3 linked regions of the Stegostoma tigrinum genome follow. The protein of the gene in region 1 interacts with the protein of each later gene in a biochemical or structural test. Links are inferred from orthologs where the notes say so. Each region holds a gene or a part of one and is shown in the gene's direction. Other genes may lie near its edges. The genes, in order: hltf, ube2v2 and rad18.

Region 1 (7,537 bases):
TCTAGCAACTTCTGCTTTTGTCTTTGGATTAACAGTCCTGTATTTATACCATTAGGCCATTTCCTCACATTGATATGTGAGATGAGGTGTGAGAAGCAGATACTGTTTCCTTCTAGTTAAGTAGATTTACTAGAAGTTGTCAGAATTTGAAGGGTTTTGTTAGAGGAAATGAAAACAAACTGTTTCCATAGATATGAAAAGGAGTAACAATTGAATTAAAACATTACTTCAGCTGGAGACATAAAGCAGCAGAAGTTTGTTGTGTAAAGTGTAAATATGTACTATCTGATAATTTTAAATTGATTCAATTTCATTTTCATTTTTTAATCAAGACAGACCGATGGATTTAGTGAAGACCGCCCAAGTTTGACATCTGCAAGAAAGTCCGTTTTAAATGGATGCAACTTGTTACTAAAAGTGAACATCTAAAATCCAGTACTGCAGCTTTAATGTTGAAATTCTAGCTGTGTGGACGTGTGACTTCATTTAGAACACTTATGTCTGTTCTGGATTGTCTACTTTAAGCCTCATTTGAAATATGTTTAATTACAGGAAATAAATTTCCCAGTTATCTTGGTGATATATTTATGTTTGTGTTGATAATTAAAATACTTGATTGTAAATTATGCAGGAAACCCTTATTAGAAAGCAAGTATTAATTCACAAAGCTTGAGAAAATATATACAAATTGATTGGATCCTTTTTTAATAGGAAAAGGAATTTGTTTTTATATTGTACATTTTTCACTGAAGAGAAAAATGGAGACCGACAACCCCTCCCTGCATTCCTCATGGCAGTCTGAGTAAATCTACCGGTATGAGTTTAGTTAGCTAACAAAGATCGACAGTTAACATTTCCTGCTGCATGTCCACACCCACTAAGATGCAACCAATCAACACTCTCTTTATACAAGTATAGAAATATAAACAAAAGCTTTTATAGAAGTAGTATAAATTGATGTTCCTTTTGGTATCTTGTGTACCAGTCCTAATCAGTGAAAGACAAATAGCTTTGGCTCTGAGTCTCTTTTTTAAAAATCCTTGAGTTCTGTAAGCAATTATTAATAGATGTTTTTGTTCATGTTTTGTGGTGCAGACTGGCATTTATTCTCCATCCATAATAGCTCTTACAATTGAGATGATGTAGGGACATGGATGTTGGACAGGGGTGAACAATGTCAGAAATCTCATGATGCCAGGTTATAGTCCAACAGATTTATTTAAAATCACAAGCTTTCAGAATGCTGCTCCTTTGTCAAGTGAAATCGATAGGCAATTATGCTGGATGAAGTATGAATAAAAACTTAAGAACAGCCAAGAAGATTAAGGTCCAAATATGGTTCGACCATTTCAGCTTCCCAGCAATCTTTTAAAATGATGTGAAATGTATTTAAAACCAGCATCAGTGAATTTAGGCACCACACCAGATTTACGGTAAAATCAAATCCTTCATAGGTATCAGAATTATTCTCTGAGCGACTATCTGTTCTTCCCTCCTTTTACAATAAGCTTCACTCTATCCAGATCATGCTTTTTGATCTCCTTCTCTCTTTGAAAATTCAAGGTTTTTTAAAGTTCCAATTCCCTTTTGTGATCATGACCACGGGCCCAAAATTGGTCATTTTAGATTGACCCATAGCTGGAGAAATTGGGCCTGACAGACAACAGAGAACAGTGGAAGCCAAGACCGTAGAGGTGACAAAGCTCTGGGCGGAAACCCGCTTACAGCCAGCCCGAGGGTTGTGTATTGAAGAAGTATCGATATGACTTTCTGGCACCTTGACTGCCAGCATTTCCTGTATTTGTGATGGAAGTTTGGGTTTGAAAGTCCAAACCATGTAAAAAAAAACTTCACAATCTATCCCAGCTTCCTGTTGTGGTTGGTTTGTTAAATCACAGATGTTTCATTAGCCTGCTGGATAGCATCATCAGTACAGCCTCCGATGAAGTGTTATGTTTTCCCACTTAAATATTTAAACTCTGGGGACCGCTGGAGTTGATTACCTCACCTCAGGTTTTTCTTTGCAGTGGTGTGTACATAGGGTCCAATTCTGTGTGCTTATTGATGGCCTTCTTGTTTGGCTTGTCCTAGGATCCTGACATTTTCCCATCAAACTGGTGGTTTTCCTTGTCTGCATGTATGGAGACGAGTGAGTATTGGTTGTGTTTTTTTTGTTGTTGCTTGGTGTTCATGTATTCTCATAGCCAGTTTCCTTCCTGTCTGTCCAATGTAATGTTTGTCACAGCCCTTGCATGAAATCTTGTATATTACGTTGGCCCTGTCCATAATGGGTACTCAATAAACATCTAGAATTAGACTCTAGAAGCGCATCACTGCAAAGAAAAACCAGAAATGAGGTAATCAACTCCAATGGACCCCAGAGTTTAAATAACAGGAGGAAAGACACAACAATACTTTGTCGGAGGCTGCACTGAAGATGTTACCCAGCGGGGTAATGAAACATCTGCAAATTAACGAACCAGCTCGGTGAGCCAACCAACCACAGCATTGAGCTGCAATCTACTCAAGACCTTTAAATATCCAGCTTCCGGTACACTTGGTTTGTCTATAATCTATGAATTCTCTTCTCTTTTTGGGAAGAGATGTCGTTTATTCAGCATTGCAAGTACTCCTGTACCTATTTGAATGACAAACAAGCTGTCACTTGAATGAAAGACCTTGCACTATCTGCAATACTGGCTGCTTTAAGCTGCTAGTGTGCTTTTATTTTTACACCCTGAAGTCCTATCACACACAACTGAGCAATTTTCCCACCATGCTAGGTTACTGTTATTCATGGGCCTGTTGATAGGAAATTGATTGGAAATATCCAATGACAATTAGCGCAAATAAAGGCAAATTCTTGGAGTAAATATAACTCAAAATTAGTTAAATTTCAACAGGCACTAGTGTATCAAAAATGTCAAACAGCGTACAAAAAAGTAAAATTTATCAGGGAGCAATAACATTACCAGTTGAGGTAAGGTGACCCAATTTGTTAATTGTGTTAATGAGAGTGTTTACTGAACTCAGGTGTAATTCAACCACCATTATGTTGAACAAGAGTATTTTAAACTTTGATGAACGAATTGGAACCCACTTGTGGAAATCAGAATCGGTTTTTATCTCTGCTTGTGTGCCTAAAAATGACATTGGGAAAAACGTCCAGGGCATTCTGCAGCATGGAGCAGGAGAAATAAGATCCCTGAGATTAAATAAAATTAATATCTAAAATATGAAAGTGACACACGCTGGAAATCTGAAGTAATAACAGAAATTGCAAGAGATGCTCAACAAAGCAGTATCTGCAGATTGAGGGAAACATGAGTTAACATTTTATGAAAAGTTGCAGATCTGAAGCACATTGAAATTCTTGTTTCTGTCTGCTGCGCCAGCAGAATATTTCCAGCTTTGCTTGTTTTTATACAGGACAAACCAGAGTTAACTTTTCAAGTCCGGTATGCCTTCCTCAGAACTGAATTTAGATCAAAAGTAATATTTCCAATTTTAAGGGCTCTTTTGATGTAATAGACATATCCCTACCTCTGAACTGGGGACCTGTTCTTGCACAATAGTAATGTCTCTACCTTTGAGTTAGAAGGCTTGGGTTCAAATCTCACCAGATCCAGAAGTGTGTCATAACATCTCTGTTAATTAGGGGACAGCTGGAAGCAAAGAACAAATGTAATATCTCCAAAATTACGGGCTCTTGTAGTGTCCCTACCTCTGAGCTGGGGGGGGGGGCTCTTAAGGCATTATTAGTAATGTCCCTACTCTGGGTTAGGAGCTGTTGTGGCACAATGCTAATGTTGCTCTCTTTGAGTTAGTGGGTTCTTGTGGCATATTGGTATTGTCCCTACCTGTGAGTTAGGGGCTCTTGTGCACAATGCTAATGTCAATGTCTCTGAGTAAGGGGTTTCTTGAGGCATATTAGTAATGCCCCTACCTCTGGGTGAGGGGTTCTTGGGGCACAATGCTAATGTCCCTACCCCTGGGTTAATGAGGGCTGGGTTTAATTCCCACCTGCTCCAGAGGTATGTACTAACATCCCTGAACTAGTTAATTTAAAAGAAAATCTAAACATTTCTCAATCAACCTGTTTAGAGATGTCATTACACACCTCTGGCACAGGTGAGACTTGAACCCAGGCCTTCTGGCTCAGACGTGGAGGTGCTGGTTTTGGTTTTGAACCGGGGTAGACAAAGTCAGAAGTGACACGACACCAAGTTATAGTCCAACAAATCTACTTGAAACCACGGTGTGAGGCTGGATGAACACAGCAGGCCAAGCAGCATCAGAGGAGCAGGAAGGCTTGATGTTTCACGTCAGGACCCTTAAGACCCTTCAGTCCTGACCCGAAACGTCAGCTTTCCTGCTCCTCTGATACTGCTTGGCCTCCTGTGTTCATTCAGTTCTACACCTTGTTATCTCAGATTCTCCAGCATCAGCAGTTCCTACTCTCTCCATTTGAGATCACAAAGTTTGAAGCGCTGTTCCTTCGTCAGGTGAAGTCGGGGCAATGCCTCGAAAGCTTGCGATTTCGGATAAACCTGTTGGACCATGACCTGGTGTCGTGTGACTTCTGACTTTGCCCTGGCTCAGAGGTAGGGACACTGCCACTGCACCACCTGTACGAATAGTACCATGCTGTCTTCATGAATGGGGATCACTAGCTGGTCAGCCGCCACAATGTATCGAGAGGTTGTATCTCGTCCATGGGTGAGTGTCCCACCCACTCCTTGCCCTGATACGTTGCTGCCTGGTGAAGGGCTGCTCTGTGTGGCTGAGAGCCGTGTCAATCAGCAGGAACCGCGCCAGCCAGGGCGAAAGTGAAAGGAGCTGGGTTTGTGGAGTGGCCGGGCTTTATGTTTGGCCTTTGTTTTTATACGAAAGATACCCTTTGCAAGTCACTGGCAGGAGGGAAGATTTGATTTTGGTCTGAAGATTATTTGCAGAGGTAGAATAAAGCTTTTCTGCGCGCGTTGCGGTTTAAGAGCAGCAAAAGAAAAGTGTTTGGAGAAGGCTTTATTGCAGAGCTCTGCACAAAACCTAGAGCGCTGGCTAGAAATGCAGTGCTGGAAGCTCAAAGCAATCTGCCTTCACATCATGCCGTCCTATTTTTGCATAAAAGGTTTGTAGTCTCAGGTAAATGTCAGGAGCAGGGGCTGGCTGCAGGCGGCATGGAGAGAATGACTCACCAACAGCAAGCCTTGTTTTTGGGGCCTGACATACTCAGCCACAGCCAAGGGGAGATTTTGTTGTTGTGTTTTTTTCTTGAGTGCATGACAACATTTCCAGAAAAAACACCCACCAACACAGCGTTCATCGTCACTCCCAGCCTCAATATGTTGTTGCTTTTTAGTCAGGAGCCTTTTACTCCCCGGTCTGTTATCTGCATCAAATCCAGGCGCTGGGTCAAAGATGCAAATTCAAAGGGAACAAAATATACTGTTCAGGGAGGTCTCTGTTTAGCAAAAGTGTTCGAATCTGCTAACATTATCGGGTCCGTTTAGTGAAAAATAGTCAAGTAAAACTTGTGTTAACTAGTGATGGGTTTATGATAATCTGCTCCACGGTGGACCACCTACCTACATAACTTAAAAAAAACTGAAAGAACTGCGGATGCTGTAAATCAGGAACGAAAACAGAAATTGCTGGAAAAGCTCAGCAGATCTGGCAGCACCTGTGAAGGAAAAAGTCAGAGTTAACGTTTAGGGCCCGGTGACCCTTCCTACATAAGCTTTTCCGTGCCTAGGTATGTGAGGCACTAGTAAGACTGCCTGGCAAAATGGGTTTTATCTGCAGGATACCATGCTATGCCAAAACATGGCTGAATAATGGTTATGCAATCTGTGTAAACTACCTGCATGCTAAATTCTACATGCCAGTTCTGAAGATGGGTCACTGAACCCAAAATGTTAACTCTCTTTCTGTCTTCAGATGCTGCCAGACCTGCTGAGTTTCTCCACTATTTCTGTCTAATTACATCAATGTGCTAATTGTGTTCTAATGCTATTAGGGAGAGTGTAAGTAGGTAGCAGTTTCTTACTTGAAGTGCTAATTTTGAACGGCTGAATTTCACTCCATTAAGCAGTATAACAAAGACGTTTTTTAACCCTCCATTTTTCTTTCTTGGACGAAGTCAGAAGTCACACGACTCCAAGTTATAGTCCAACAGGTTTATTTGAAGTCACAGCAGAGCACCTTCGTTTATTTTTTCTCTTGTAAAGTGTAAAATGCTCTGTGCTTCCAGATGATGTGTAAAGCAAGACTAACTCAAGCTGTCAGATAGGTGCCACCACTTGCTGATTACAGTGTGTGCTCAGAGATGTCATTCTACTGTGAGGGATCATGCAGCATTTCCAAAGCAAACATATGTGGGAATCTGTTTCTTTAATCTTGCAGGAGCTCTTAAAACTGAGAGTTTATGATGGGCACAGCAACAAAGATTTGCTAGGCTCGAGGACAGAAGAGTTTTCCGTCAGTTTAAATACCTTGTCATTTCTCTCGAGGAGGGTTACAAATCATGGTTTTCTTTTGTTCCCGCAGCATGTTGTTCTGGCGGAATTGGACTAATTCCCAGTATCTGGGTGGACGAACTGCATCCCAGTTTTCTGATGGCAGTTTTCTATTTGCTCCGGATCCTGAAGAGTCATTATCTCAGATGATAAATCGTTCGTTAACAGATGACACTGCGTCACCAGATGAGGATCTGGATTCTGTTTTATTTGGAAACCTCCGTGGGAATGTGGTTGGGATGCGTTATTATACAGGAGTGGTAAGACTTGTCCCTCCAATCTAGCGTAATATTAAATAGCTGCGTTTAAATCTTCAATTTGCCATACCTTCAGTTACCTATTTATTATTGATTTAACAGTTGGGATTCAAAAACCTAAAAGTACATTTATATAATACCTCTCCCACAGCAAAAAGACCTAAGTTGCGTCGTGGGAGTATTTTAAAGATACTTAGCCCCATAAACCAACATAGGGCCAGATGACCAAAGCAGTAGATTTTAAGGAGTGTCTCAGTGGATGGAAGGGAAGAAGAGTAATGGGCAGGTTACTGAAGAAATGGTCAAACTTAGACAGCTAAAGGCACTTCTACCTATTGTGGACCAATTAAAATTGAGGGAGGAGGGGCTATGGTAGTGCAGCGATGGTGTCCTTTATCTCTGGTCGAGTCGACCCTGGTTCGAGTCCCACTTACTCCAGAGTACTGACATCTCCGAATAGGTTAAGTTTGAAAAGAAAGTATCACCATTTAAAATAATAGGTTCAAGAGGTCAGAAATAGATGAGTGCAGGTACACCAGAGGGTTGTGGGGCTGGAGTTGATGATAGAGATAGGGAGGGGCCAGGCCATGGAGATTCTTGAGAATTGCGATAAGAATTTTTAAGCGGCCATGTTGCTTGACCCGACATCCGTGCTTCCTGGAGTGATGGATGAGTGGGACTCTGTACGAATATGGATGGGGATAGCAGAATTTTGGACAATGTCAAGTTTGTGGAAAAGTAGAATATGGGAGGCCAGCTAAA
Region 2 (6,929 bases), on another chromosome or scaffold:
GGCACACAACACCAGTTTATAGTCAACACATTTATTTGAAATCACAAGTTTTTGGAGCATTGCTGTTTCATCAGCTGAATGTATTAGTTGTTGTTAGGGTATAGGGATGGCAGCCAAACTAAATCAGTCTCTGTATCACTGGATTCACAACATTGTGAAATTTTTTACTCAATGGCTCTCAATTGCTTAGTTGTTCCTAATCACACTTTACAAACAAATCTTGGACACCTAGGTTATCACTTAAAAGAAAACTGATAAATTTACTAAAAGTGTAACTTTAGCAGAACACAAACTGCCAAGCAATCTAGTATCAACAATCTAATCCCAATCTTATGAAAGGCATAGATAGAGTTGATAGCCAGAGACTATTTCCCAGGGCAGAAATGGCTAGCACGAGGGGTCATAGTTTTAAGCTGGTTGGTGGAAAGTATAGAGGGGATGTCAGAGGCGGGTTCTTTACACAGAGAGTTGTGAGAGCATGGAATGCGTTGCCAGCAGCAGTTGTGGAAGCAAGGTCATTGGGGTCATTTAAGAGACTGCTGGACATGCATATGGTCACAGAAATTTGAGGGTGCATACATGAGGATCAATGGTCGGCACAACATTGTGGGCTGAAGGGCCTCTTCTGTGCTGTACTGTTCTATGTTCTATAAGGCGCATTGTCACACACAGCAATAAGGAATAAACTTTAAAAAAAACTGTAATTTGCCAGTTCAATTTCTTTCAACAACGAATACCAAGCATTTATTAATTCCTTGAGTAGAGTTATACAGAATGGAAACAAACCCTTTGGACTAACTTGCCCTCCTAAACTGATCTAGTCTTATTTGACCTAGATCCCTCTGAATCCTTTCTATTCATATGTCCATGCTGATGCCTTTTAAATGTAATTGTACCTGCCTCCCACTACTTCCTGTGGCAGCTCATTCCACTTATGCACCACCCTCTGCATGAAAGATGCCCTGCAGGTCCTTTTTGTATCTTTTCCCCATTACTTTAAAAGCATGTCCTCTAGTTTTGGACTCCCCCACCATAGGGAAAAACGTTATTCAGCCTCTCCTGCCCTTCATGATGACAGGTTGTGTTACAGACAATATAGTGTACATCTTTCTTGAATTCTGAGGTCACTGGTCTTAGAACTTGCAGCAAGTTTAAAAACTGGACAATAAGTGTAGAGATTGAAAGCAGCCCCAGTCCAGAAGCTTCTAAACCAAAACTGCCTCTTGTCCAAAAGCTCAGGCAGAATCATTTCATTAAAAACTGAAAGAACTGCAGATGTTGTAAATCAGAAATAAAAACAGATTGCTGGAAAAGCTAAGCAGGTCTGGCAGCATCACAGTTAATGAGAAATCACAGATAATGTTTTGAGTCTGGTGACCCTTCGTCAGAACAGTTTATTCTTTGATTTCCTGGTGGTTGACTGGCCACCCTAGTTCTCCCTTGATTGACCAATTCATCATTCAACCAGCTGCCAGTCCCTGAGCATAGTAACATTTCACTGCCAAATCATCCGTAGTGTCCTCAGAACAGTGATTAAACTGAATTATCTTAGCAGTTTCCAAAAGCAAACATTAGTCTTTTGTTCTCTGCTTGTTTTTAAGAGCAGTTTTAGAAGCTTCGGACCAGGGCTGTTTTCACTCTCTGTCCAGTTATTAGCTTGTCAAAAGTGGACGTTGGTCTTAGTGTTCAAAGTTCAATTGTCAACTGCAATACTCATTTACAAACCATCTAGTTTTATGACCCCTGGTTTTAAATCTCCCCATAACTGGAAACACTTTCTCCAATCTATATTAAGCCCTTTGTAACTTTAAAGACCTTTAATTGGTTACCCCTCAGCCTCTGTTTTCTAGAGAAAGGAGACCCAGACTATTCTGTCTTTTCTGATACAACTATGCTCTGCTATTGGGAAAACTGATTTTTTTCACCTTTTCCAGTGACTGTAAGTGGTGGTAGAACTCTAGACAGTACTGGAAGTTTGCTCAAATGAACCATAATCGTATTGAAGTTGTTTCTAAACGTGTCCCATTGCCACTGCTTGGACTGTGAATTTTATTTATCATTTGATCTTTCCAGCCCTCCACCTTATCTCAAATCTTCTTGGTTTTTTCCTCTTTTATTGGATGATTGATTTGCCCATATCCATGACTTTAGTTTTGTCCTTTATACAACACATCAGTCAAATATGACCTTAATCTCAAGGACAGTAATTTTCACCTCCCCTCTGGAATTTGTCTCTTTTGTTCATGCATGAATTAAGGTTGTAATGAGCTGAGTGGCCCAAATGGAACCTGAAATGGGAGCCAGTGAGCAGGTTATTGCTAAACAGGTTCTGTGTGATACCACTGTTGCTGACACTTTCCTGATGATTGAGTGGAGTTGAGGAGGTAATCAACCAGCTCGGATATGCTTTTTGTGTATAGGATGTACCCGGGCAATTTTACACATTATTGGGTCAGCTTGTCCAGAGATGCTCTAAGTTCTGGAGCACAAGTCTTTGGTACTAGCACCAGAATGTTGTTAGTGCCAAAATCAGTTGAAGTTTCCCTGAGTCTCCACCTGTTTCTTCATATTAAGTGGAATAAATCAAATTGGCTAAAGCCTGATATCTGTGATGCTAGGGAAGAGGCCGACATAGATCACCCACTTCTGGCTGAAGAGTCTTGTGAATGGTTCAGCCTTGTCTTTTGCCTGACAAATCGGGTTCTCCCATTATTGTGAACAGGGATATCCGTGGACCCTCCTCCAATGAGTTAATTGTCTACCAACACTGACCACTGTCTGTGACAGCACTGTAAAGCTTAGATCTGATCTGGTGTTGTGGAATCACTAACTTTATCTATCACTTGCCACTTACGCTGTTTGACCCACAAGTAGTCCTGTTTTGAGGCTTCACCAGGTTGACACCTCATTTTCACGTATGCCTGGTGTTCTCCTCGCATGTTTTCCTGCAATCTTCTTTGGATCCCTTCACTTGAATGCTTAAGTGGGGGGTGGGAAGATATGACAAGTTGCAGATTATGTTGGAGAATGATTCTGTTGCTGCTGCTGGCCAACTATACCTCACAGATTCATTCAAACTCAGTTCTATTTCGAATGGTTATAGGGTATTCTTAACATGAAGTCCGGACTTCGTCACAAAGACAGTATAATAAACTCTCTTACTGATATTGTTGTACTAGACAAATATATCTGCAGCAAGTAGAATCGTGACGATGATGTGGAGTATGTTTTTCCTTGTCTGTGCAATTGTTTACCAAAGAAGGTAGTTGTGAAGGATCAATTAATTACATTCAAGGCTGAGATAGACGTTTAATCAGTAAGGAACTCAACGCTAATGGGGATAAAGTAGGAAAGTGGAGTTGAGTATTATCACCAACAATAGTTTCATTGAATCACACATCAGTTCAGATGGGCCACTATGGACAATCCTGCTCTGGCATCTTATGGTCTCATTAATTAGCCTATACATCTATCCTTGTGTTGTACTGTCTTGTTATGCCAGTTGAAAAGCCAAGTCTCATTGTGAAATTGGATAATGCTTGACTCTCACCCCTCAGTCTTTCTCCCTCTCCGTATTTCAGTATCCTATGTATCTGCTGAAGGGAAATATTACATGAAAATAACATTACATGAAAATTCCCCTTCATGATTTTTTTCCAATTTTGAGCACAGCGGTGTTCTGAGGATTGATTTTCAATTACTGGAGACTCCAGGAGGGTTAGATGATAAGTTTTGAAGAGAATGAGAAAGATTCTAAAGTACTTGACGATGGAGTTGTGCCGACTTTATGAAGGAGGAGGTGAGTATGAACACTACAGGTGTGGAGATTACACATTGTCCGTGAGCGAAGCAGCAGGAAAGCAGACGCACATGCGCACGTGGTGCCACACCAGACCGGAAGTGACGAGAGAGCGGCCGAGTCGGCGCCGGTTCCTTTCGTTTGGAGCAAGATGACAGGCTGCCGAGGTCTGAGTGAGCTGCGGGTGTCCGGGGGGGGAGAGGGGAGGCTGAGGCCCCAGGTCCGAGTGATCCGGGAGGAAGGCGAGGAGCGCGGTTAGATACTGCCCTGGGTCACCCCGGCTCTTAGGCCGGGCTATGACCGGAAAGCCGCGGCCCACTCCGGTGGGATTGGAGGGGCGGGGGGTGTTCACTTTATGAGGGTTTGGGCCGGCCCGAGGAACCGTACCTGGGCGGCCTCCAGTTTGTGCTGTTTCCAGTCCCTCTGAACGGCAGTTGGTTTTTATTTCTGCCTGTTTGGCTGGTGGTGTGGCAGAGACTTTGTATATGACCTTTAAAATGTGTGTCTTTGGGAGCAGGGGTAGTTTTCTTGTTCAATGCGTTTGTGATTCATATAGTAGCCTGTATGTCCTTGTGTTATTTACATGAAAGTCTCTTTTAACTCGTGTCTTTCGAACCACATCTGAAGAAAATATTTTCCGTGTTGACTTTTCGTTTTGTGTTGTAGATTCTTTTTGTTTTTCTTCTATAAGGTGTCTTAGAGGTAGACTTTATTTACAAACTCCTGTGACAGCGATGTGCAATTTCCAAATGCAGCTGTGGCAAAGAGGAAGTTAGCTGAGTTATTCTTAGTCCGAACGTATTTGACAGCATTTTATTTTGAGCTGCTGTGTTTGATTTTTAGGATTCGGGAATTGAGAGCGAATAACTGACTATCATTTAATCGTAATGTTTCTCCTTTTCTTTGTTCGTTGTTATGGGGCATTTTGAGATTTATTGATATACGCATGATTCTCACAGATGATTGGGAACAAATGGTTTACCTCTGGTCAGCTTTGAGCAGTATGAAACGGTCAAATTTCATTTCGACTTTTTTTGAAAATGATACCTTTGTGATATATCTGTAGCGGCACCTCTTCAGTAGATTCGAACGTTTCTATTTGTATCGCCCACCAAACTGTTCAAGTTTCAAACGTTCTGCTAAATGATTCACTCTTTTGTCTAAGTAAAGAATGCATAGAACTGGCAAATAACGTATACTTTGACTTGAGTGCAGGATCACAAACTCGATAAAAGGCAGAGAAAAATATGTATTGGAACCATTGACATGGAACAAAAGTGACTTTCGAACAGCGTATTTGAAAAGAGATCACTTGCACAAAAAAATACAAGATAAGGGTTCATGGAGCTGGGGGTCATACACTAGCATGGTTGAAGGGTTGGGTAATGGGCAGGAAATATGGCTTTGGCATAAACGGGGTTTTTTCAAGTTGACAGACTGACTGCTGGTATGGCATGTGCCTGTGCTAAGCACTCACTACTTACAATCTGTGTTAATGATTTAGATGGAATCTGAGTGTAATATATTTAAAGTTGTTGACAGGAGAGTTTAGAGGTGGGAACGTAAACTGACCCAATACAAAGCGGCTGCAAAAATATAGTTTGAATAGGTAACAAAGTGGCAGATGAAAAATAAAAAAACAAAATAAAAAAGCAGCACCCAAATGTTTTTTGACATCATTGTAAAGGAAACTGGAATCTGAAAGTGAAAGCCTGCTCCATCAATACAGGGCATTGATGAGATCTCTCATGGGCTATTGCATATGGATTTGGAGTCCCTGTTTAAGTAGGAATATACTTGCATTTAACATAGTTCAGAAATCATTGATTAGGTTAATTCCTGGGTTAAAAAGGTTGTGTGTGAAAACATGAATTCGAATCATTTTAGCTCCCTTGAGCCCAACCATTATTACAAAGTTATGGCTAATCTGTTTGTTTCAACTTCCACATTCCCATTTATCCACAATCATCTTTGATTCATTTGCCTTACAAGAATCTACCTCTGCCTCAAAAGATATTCAATGATCTTCACTCCATCACTTTCTGAAGAAGGGAGCTTTGCATTTCCACACTTCTTTGAAGAAAAGTGCCCTCATCTGTCCTAAAAGACAGATGACTTAATTTTTAAAAAATACCTCCTAGTTCTGACTCATCAGAGGAAACATACCTCAAAAAGACTGTTCAGAATCTCGTAGCCTTCAATCAATTCAGCCGTTGCTCTTCTAAACTTTAGTTGAAACCAGTCCAATCTGCCCAACCTTTCCTTGTAAGACAACTCATTCATTCCAAGACCCAATCTAGTAAGCGATGTCTGAGCTATTTCTGATGCATTTACATTGTTCTTTAAATATGATACCAAAACTACTCTCAACTTTCACGAACAAAAACAAATTGCTCAGACGACTCAGCAGGAGAACCTAATGGTCTGGCAGCATCTGTGAAGAGAAAACAGAATTCATACTTGTGATCTAGTGATGTAGGTCCCATTCTGACGAAGGGTCACTGGACCCAAACCTCTAACTCTGCATCTCTCCAGATGCTGCCAGACCTGTTGAGTTTCTCTAGCAATTTGTTTTGGTTTCAGATTTCCAGTGAGGTTTTTGGTTTAGCTCAGTATTCAAGATCACCAGTTCCCTACATAACTGAAACAGAACATTCTTCTCTTCAAACAAGGATAGCATTTGATTAGTCTTACGTACTTTGCTGTACATGCATACCAAAGTTTTTGGCTCATGCATTTGGACCACAGGAAGAGGATTAGGCCATTCAAACCCTTGGGACTTACCATTCAGTGAGATGATAATTGATCTGCAGCTTACTTCCATGTATCTACCTTTGGCCAAAATCTTTTAATACCTTTGCCTAACAAAAATTACTCCAATTCAGACTTAAAATTAACATTTGATCCAATATCCACTGCTGTTTATGCATCCTTTGTGTATGGAAGTGCTTCCTAACGTCTCTCCTGAGTAGCCTGACCCTAGTTCTAGAATCCTCAAATAGTGGAAATACTTCATCTTCTGACTTGCCATTTCCCATTTATATCTTGAAAACTTTGTTCCAATAACCCTTTAATATTTCTAAATTCTAGAAACAAAGGCCAGATTTGTCCATAATCTCAAACTTAACCC
Region 3 (7,407 bases), on another chromosome or scaffold:
TCGCCGAGCCAGTAGGTTTGGATGCAAATGTTTTGTCAGCCTGCTAGGTAACATTGTCAGTGCGCCTCCCATGAAGCATCGGTGTTCTGCCCCACCTGTTATTTCTATGTCTCAGTTTGCTGGGGTGGTTGGTATTACTTTCAGTTTTGTTTCTCGGTGGTTTGTACACAGGGACTAATTCAGTGTGTTTGTTAATGGAGTTCCGGTTGGAATTCCAGGTCTCTGGGAATTCCCTGGTGTGTCTCTGGCTTGTGCAACTATCAATGTGTTGTCCCATTTGAATTCGTATCCCTCGTTGTCCGTGTATGGCGTGACACTTGAGGGTTGGTCGTATCTCTTGGTGGCTAGTTGGTATTAATGTATCTATACAGTAAATTTTTTTCGGATTTGGCCCATGTGGTGTTTCTCACAGTCCTTGCATGGTACTTTGTATATTACCCCAGCTTGCTAGTTTTGGGTATGGAATCCTTCACGTTTGTCAGTGGCTGTTGTTGGGTGGTTGTCAGTTTATGGGCAGTTCTGATACCTGGGGGTCTGAGTAGTCTTGTGGGCTGCTCTGAAATGTCCCAGATGTATGAGAGGGTGATAAATGATTCTGGTCATGTTGTGTCTACCTGTTGTCACCTGTTTTGGAGGTAATGGTAATGTGCTTTTTGGGTATTTTTTTTAAGAGTTCATATATGTGTTCCTGTTCTGCTTCATGTAGCTCCTTCATGTAGGGTTGCTGCAATGTATTGTGGCTCACTTAAATAGTGTCCTGATGCAGCTCCGTTTGTGAATGTTGGGGTTGTTGCTAGTGTAAATGAGTATTTGGCCTGTATGTGTGGTCTTTCTATATACACTAATCTGGAGTTCCCCCTTGTTTTTGTGTTCTGCCATTATATGCAGGAAGGGTGGTTGATTGTTGCTCTCTTCTTCTTTCATGGATTTTGTCACAGGGAGGGTGTTGATTAAGTGTTCGTGGGTTTCTTCCAGTTTAGTATGCTTGATAATAATAACACCTACATTTGGGACCTAAAGTTTGGGTTATATAATGGTGAGCGCTGTCCATTCTAACCTTTGCATTACTGCTCCTGCAATCAGTCCTGACATTGGGGATCCCATTGGTGTTCCGTTGATTTGTTTGTATATGTTGTCATTGAAGGTAAAGTGGGTTGTGAGGCACAGATCCAGTAGTTTCATGGTGGTGTCCTCATTGATGTTGTTGGTGTCCTGGGTTGCCTGCTTACTTGATTCATCCAGCAGTGTGGCAATTGTTTCTTTGGCTAGGTCGATGTTTATGGATGTAAATAGTGCTGTTATGTTGGACAATATCATCATCTCATACTCATCTATCCTGGTGACCTTCGAGATGTTGAAGAATTCTTGGGATGAGTAAATGAGAGGGTATTGTTGTCCACTAAGTATTTCAAGTCTATATGTTGGTGTACCTGGCAGTGACGGGTCTGAGGGGGACCCCCGGCTTGTGTACCTTGGTTGAATCTGTAGTATCGGGGTGTGTTGGATCCCTCTGGCTTCATTTTTTTGGTTGTGTGTCTTGCTGATGTCTCCTGAGTTGGATAAGTTCTTCAGGTTTGGTGTAATCTGGTTTCCTAATTGTGGTAACCAGGTGTTGAGCTGGATGAACACAGCAGGCCAAGCAGCAACAGAGGAACAGGAAGGTTGACGTTTCAGGCCTAGACCCTTCTTCAGAAATGGCCCAAAACGTCAGCCTTTCTGCTCCTCTGATGCTGTTTGGCCTGCTGTGTTCATCCAGCTCTACATCTTGTTATCTCAGACTGTCCAGCATCTGCAGTTCCTCCTACCTCCTAATTGTGGTGGCAGTTCTGTCGCCATCTGTTGATAGGTGTTGGTATCTGCTAGTAATGCATTAACTTTCTCGATGTATTGAGTTGTATTAAAGATTACTGTCATGCATCCTTTGTCTGCTGGTAAGATTACAATGTTCCTGCCTTTCTTGAGCCTTTCCAGGGCTTTCCTCTCTTGTGTGTTCCATTTTCCTTTTTGTTCAGGGTTGGGACTCTTGTCTGTCTGACAGTCTGTTGTATTTTTTCTGTGAGTCCGTTGTTCTTTAGTGTTGATTCCAGCCCAGCCAGGAAGCCAGTCTTTTTTGGCATCTCTGTAGTTATGTTTCAGTCCACGTACTAGGACGGTCTTCTCAGTATCTGTAAATAGTTGGTCTGAGATGTTCTTAACCCATGAATCTGTTGTCTGTGTATTGATGTAGGTGATTTTGGACAGTTTTTCTTGAAGGGCTATTCTTCGCTTTATTCTGATCTTTTGTTGTTGTGTGCTGATGGGATGGAAATGTTGATTGGCCATTCTCCTTCAATTCATTTTTTGAATTTAGGACTGTGCATAGTAGCAGATGGCAATAATTCCAAAATCAAGCATGGTGACCAATGAATGGGAGTGAGGCTTCACACAGTACCCAATTCAGGAGAATGAAGGTTGTACAGCTGCTCATGTAGTGAAGGTTGTTTGATGCCCAGTACTGGGGAAATGAAAACTGTAAGGTGCCCTATACAAGAAATTAAGATTGCATGGTACTCAGTGCAGGGAATTGAAGATTGCATAGTGCACAAACAGTCAGTGAAGTTTGCAGGGTGCCAAACTGGGGAGTTGAGCTTGCACAGTGAGGATTGTGGGTAGTGAATGTTCCATACTGCCCAATGCAGGGGGACAAAGGCTGCATGTTGCCCAGTGCAGGTGTGTGAATATTGTACAGAGCCCAATGCAAGGAGTCACAGTTGCATGGTGATCAATGCAAGGAAATAAAATTTGGAAGGTGGACAGAACAGGGAAGTGAAAGTTGCATAGCACTGGTAGTCAAGCTTGCATAGTGGTGATTATGTGCAGTGCAGTGTCGTGAAGGTACCCACTTGGGAAGCAAAGGATACAAGATGTAAAAGTGGACAGCCAAAGTTACACAATGATCCCAGACATGAAGGTTATACGCTGCCAAGTGCAGGAAGTGAAGATTGCACAGAGCCCAATGCAAAGGGATGAAAGTTGCACATTGACTAAGTAAGGGAGTGGAGCTTGCACAGTACCCAATCTAAAAAAAACCTGAAGATTGCCCCGTGCAAGATGTGAAGATTGAATGACGCCAACGTGGGCAAATAAGGTTGCACTATGGCAATCGTGAGCAGTGAAGTTTACATGCTGCGCAGTGCAGTGAAAGGTTGCATAGTGTCCGGTGTGGGGAGAAAAGCTTTCAGCGTTTAGGAGCGAAAGTTGCAGATTGTACGGTGCATTGTTTAAGCGATGCAAGTTTGAAGAGTACACTGTTTGGGGAACAAAATGTTAGGCTGGATGAACACAGCAGGCCCAGCAGCATCTCAGAGCACAAAAGCTGACGTTTTGGGCCTAGACCCTTCATCAGAGAGGTTTAGGCCCAAAACGTCAGCTTTTGTGCTCCTGAGATGCTGCTGGGCCTGCTGTGTTCATCCAGCCTCACATTTTGTTGTCTTGGATTCTCCAGCATCTGCAGTTCCCATTAACACTCTTTGGGGAATGCAGTTTTGCATGGTGCCAGGTTTCAGAGTTGCAATTAGAAGGATGCAGTTTGGGGGATCGGGGTTTAGTTCGCATGATGTGGGGGGGAGGTTTCGGGGTGGGGGCAGTTTTCATGGTTTGATGGGGGTGTAGTTTACATGATGCAGGGGAGATTTCAGGGGAGTTTGCATGGTTTGATGGGGGAGCTGTAGTTTGCATGATGCAGGGGTTATTGGGGGAGTTTGCATGGTTTGATGGCTGGTGTAGTTTGCATGATGCAGAGGGCTTCAGGGGAGTTTGCATGGTTTGATGGGGGCTGCAGTTTGCATGGTGCAGTGGGCTTTGGGGGAAGTTTGCATGGTTTGAAGGGGGTGTAGTTTGCATGATGCAGGAGGTTTCGAGGGAGTTCGCATGGTTTGATTTGGGGGCTATAGCTTGCATGATGCAGGAGTTATTGGGGAGTTTGCATGATTCAGGGGTGTTTGCATGGTTTAATGGGAGAGTTTTGGGGTGGGGGCAGTTTGCTTGGTTTGATGGGGAGTGTAGTTTGCATCATGCAGGGGGGTTTCAGGGGAGTTTGCATGGTTTGATTGACGCTGTCTAGTTTTCATGATGCAGGGGAGTTTTGGGGGAGGTCCAATTTACATGATGCAGGGGGTGGTTTCAGGGTGTTTGCATGGTTTGATAGCGGAGTGCAGTTTGCATGATGCGGGGTTTATTGGGAGAGTTTGCATGGTTTGATGGGGGAAGCTGCTGCAGTTTGTCGGGGGTACGGATTGGAGGGTGCAGCGCGCCGTCTGTCGGGAAGCTGGGGAGGGCGGCGTAGGGTGCAGGCTATTCTGGGAATCGGGATCCCCCGTGGCAACTAACCGGAAAGCGCTCGCGCTCAGCTGCTGATGACGTGCTTCCGGCTGTAGCCAGCGCGCGCGTTTTGCTCTGAATTCGAGAAAAATGTGGGAGAGACTGAAGGTGAGAGAGAGGGAGAGATTGAAACTGAGGGAGGGAACGACAGAGGAAGGGGTGCCCCGTGCTGAATGCCAGTGCGGGAAAGACTTAGGATGAGAAAGAGAGTATGGGGGGGGGAAGGTGTTTGTGGATGAGGATGGTTAACTGACCTATTTTCTGATGTAACAACAACTGAAGTTCAGACAAGATTTATACTGATTAATTGTGAGGTGCTGAGTGGATTGCGCGCGCTTTCCATTTTGATCCCATAGGATCTGTGTTCTGCTCTTAGTCAGTACAGTAAAATGATTAGCGGAAATCTTGATTACCCATCTCCACAGGCCTACACTTGATTTGGATTGGCAATGTATAGTCTGGGTTAAGGTGACAACTCTGTTTAGGATGGCAAGTTTGGACTTGACGAATCGTCTTTCTCTTCCAGGCCATGGATAACCTCTTACGCTGTGGTATCTGTTTTGAATACTTCAATATTGCCATGATGATCCCTCACTGTTCGCATAATTGTAAGTATTCTGCATGCCACCATCCTAATACTGCTGGCTGAGATGTTTTCACCAGTGCAGCACATTTCTGTAGAGTTGTGAAAGAAGTTTTAAACTGCTCCCTGTGTAACATGTAACGAGCATTGATTTAGGCAGGTATGTTTCAGATGATTGTTGGTGTGCACTGTGGCTGCAGATGGCCTACGATGACTGTATGTGTGTGGGACAAGACAGACTTGTGTGATATAATGCAACAGTAGACGTGGCAGGCAGCACCAATAAGATCTGAGCAGAAACAGTTGGCTGAATTTGGCTATGTCAGAGTTGCGTTGAGTTTTGCCTTTTGGAGGGTTACTCGTCATGGAACCTTGTGAGATTTCTCACTGTCTTACAAAGCTGCCTTGTCAACCACCTACCCTGCTCCTTTGCCATTTTCCAATTTCCACCCCAAACTTGCCGCCCGCTGTTTCCACAGCAACTTGCTACTCGGTGGACTTCCACTGACACTCCAGCATTGCTGGTGCCTGCACCGTCTCTAAAGGACCAGACAAGTATTTGACTGTCTCTGGCAGTGCAATGGCACAGCAGCTACACTGCTCTTGGCACAAGGCTGGCATGGCTGACCCTCCCTTGTACATCGACAATCTGTCATCTCTGGCGCTGCTTAACTACCATGCTACACACTTTTCCTGCCCGTAGCTACCTCCTGCCTGAATGCCATGACTAACGTCAGTGTTGCCCTACTCTGGTGCCCACAGTAGAACTGAATCTTGGCATTGCCCAGTTGTGAAACGTCACAAACAGGCGAGCAACTGGATGAATACAAAGTCAAACCCTGAGCTTTAATAGAGTCATTATTTACAAAAAGCAAAAGGGGACAAAACTGAAGGCTGAGCTCCTACGATGCCAACCAGTTTTCAACAATATGACCAAAATAGTTTGAAATTGGCCATTGTCTAATTCACCCAACTTTCGTCTACTGGAACTAGGTGTCAGGCAGGTTCTGTCTGGCTCGTTACACCAAACGCAGCTGAGCTCCATCATGGAGAGCATCAGTTTCCTACTCCCCCATGTTGTCCTCTTCAGAAGGTTTCACCTATTCCCCCAGTTCCTCAGCATCCAGCTTATGGCCTTGTTCTGGTCTTGTTGCCCACTGCAGTTGTGCAGAGCGCAGGATGATGGGACAGACTCTGTTTGGACTAGACTGGAGAGTTATTCCCTGACTGGTCCAAGCAGCAGAACCACCTTTTCAGTAGCTCCACCTTTTGATCCACGGTGGGGAAATGCAGGCAGCATTGTATCGGAGCTTGGCCGTCATTGGTGCAATTCCCTGCAGATGATGGCTGCATACACTGCACCCAATAATGAGCGACATATCTCCACCATCTATCCACTTTCAGGTTTAATCTGGGCAGCAACTTGATGAGTGGTTACCCCATGTCATTGACAAGGAAATATCTGCAGCTGCTCCGACACCTAGCCAACTCTGCACCCCCATTAAACACTCAACTAAACACAGCATTCAGACCACAGCATTGTCACACAAACATGACAGACGACGCAATGTGTGCCTCGCACCCAGGACCTGTGGAGGTAGCGTGAGCAGTTGTTCCCTTCAGCCAGTATGGACATTTCATGATAACACTGCAGCTACTTCCATATCATTCAGATGCCCAAGTTCAGCCAGTGATCACCAATGGGATGTTACAATTTACCTTTGACCAACATCTGACCCCTAAGCATCCTCAGTCTGAACGCACTGCAGTTGGACAACAATGGTTGCTAATCCATTAAAGCAACATTCTGTAGCGACAACAACATGAAGCAGGTGCCCACAAGGATAGGGGGGTCCAGCAAATGATGCTCTCCGCCGACCCTAGAATTTTCTTGTATTGAGATAAGGGAAAGTGAAGGCAGAGAAGGAAGATTGCGCTGGACACCATCAGCACGGGGCTTCCCTAAGTCACTAGGTTACATCCCCGAAGAAGTGTTTGGCAAACACAAAAAAACTTCATAATATGAGGGAAAGGTAGTATGGAGGCTGAGAGATGTTAAAAACTCAGAAAACTACCATTTTACTATCATGGAGTTAGTTAGTGAAGCGAGTTTGAAACGCTTGATGGTTTGATGGTATGGTGAGTCAGTGCTCCTGCTCTGCGAGATATAATGAACAGTTCACTTTTAGTCACAGCAGGGTACAACATTTCTTTTGAGGGCACCTCTTGATCGTTACTGTTTGTTTTTCTGGGGTTACTTCTTGATTTTCAGAAGTTGCATTTTCATTCTCATTAAATTATTTGGACTTAGAATTAGAACAATTCAGCAATATTCTCAATAGTCGTCAACCCTGTGAAACTTAAACCCATAATGCAGAAGGAAAACATTAAATAACACTGAAATTAAATATGCCCAAGACAACAGACGTAAGTTAGCAATGGAAATAATTGATGCCCACTTCAGC

Evidence for each region.
Region 2: the proteins of hltf (region 1) and ube2v2 form a complex in vitro, tested with the Homo sapiens proteins (2 studies listed by BioGRID). The link is inferred for Stegostoma tigrinum from reciprocal best matches to the Homo sapiens genes HLTF and UBE2V2.
Region 3: the proteins of hltf (region 1) and rad18 form a complex in vitro, tested with the Homo sapiens proteins (2 studies listed by BioGRID). The link is inferred for Stegostoma tigrinum from reciprocal best matches to the Homo sapiens genes HLTF and RAD18.

The regions. Positions count from the first base shown.
Region 1 is NC_081367.1:68,339,074-68,346,610, forward strand, and holds the start of hltf (helicase-like transcription factor), read left to right. Parts: upstream 1-4,466; 5' UTR 4,467-4,560; coding exon 4,561-4,604; intron 4,605-4,612; exon of another isoform or gene 4,613-4,719; intron 4,720-4,816; exon of another isoform or gene 4,817-4,957; intron 4,958-5,393; exon of another isoform or gene 5,394-5,503; intron 5,504-6,549; coding exon 6,550-6,778; intron 6,779-7,537. UniProt on the Homo sapiens protein: Has both helicase and E3 ubiquitin ligase activities. Possesses intrinsic ATP-dependent nucleosome-remodeling activity; This activity may be required for transcriptional activation or repression of specific target promoters.
Region 2 is NC_081358.1:72,176,546-72,183,474, reverse strand, and holds the start of ube2v2 (ubiquitin-conjugating enzyme E2 variant 2), read left to right. Parts: upstream 1-3,883; 5' UTR 3,884-3,950; coding exon 3,951-3,966; intron 3,967-6,929. UniProt on the Homo sapiens protein: Has no ubiquitin ligase activity on its own. The UBE2V2/UBE2N heterodimer catalyzes the synthesis of non-canonical poly-ubiquitin chains that are linked through 'Lys-63'. This type of poly-ubiquitination does not lead to protein degradation by the proteasome.
Region 3 is NC_081364.1:59,459,615-59,467,021, forward strand, and holds the start of rad18 (E3 ubiquitin-protein ligase RAD18), read left to right. Parts: upstream 1-4,405; 5' UTR 4,406-4,449; coding exon 4,450-4,467; intron 4,468-4,885; coding exon 4,886-4,967; intron 4,968-7,407. UniProt on the Homo sapiens protein: E3 ubiquitin-protein ligase involved in postreplication repair of UV-damaged DNA. Postreplication repair functions in gap-filling of a daughter strand on replication of damaged DNA.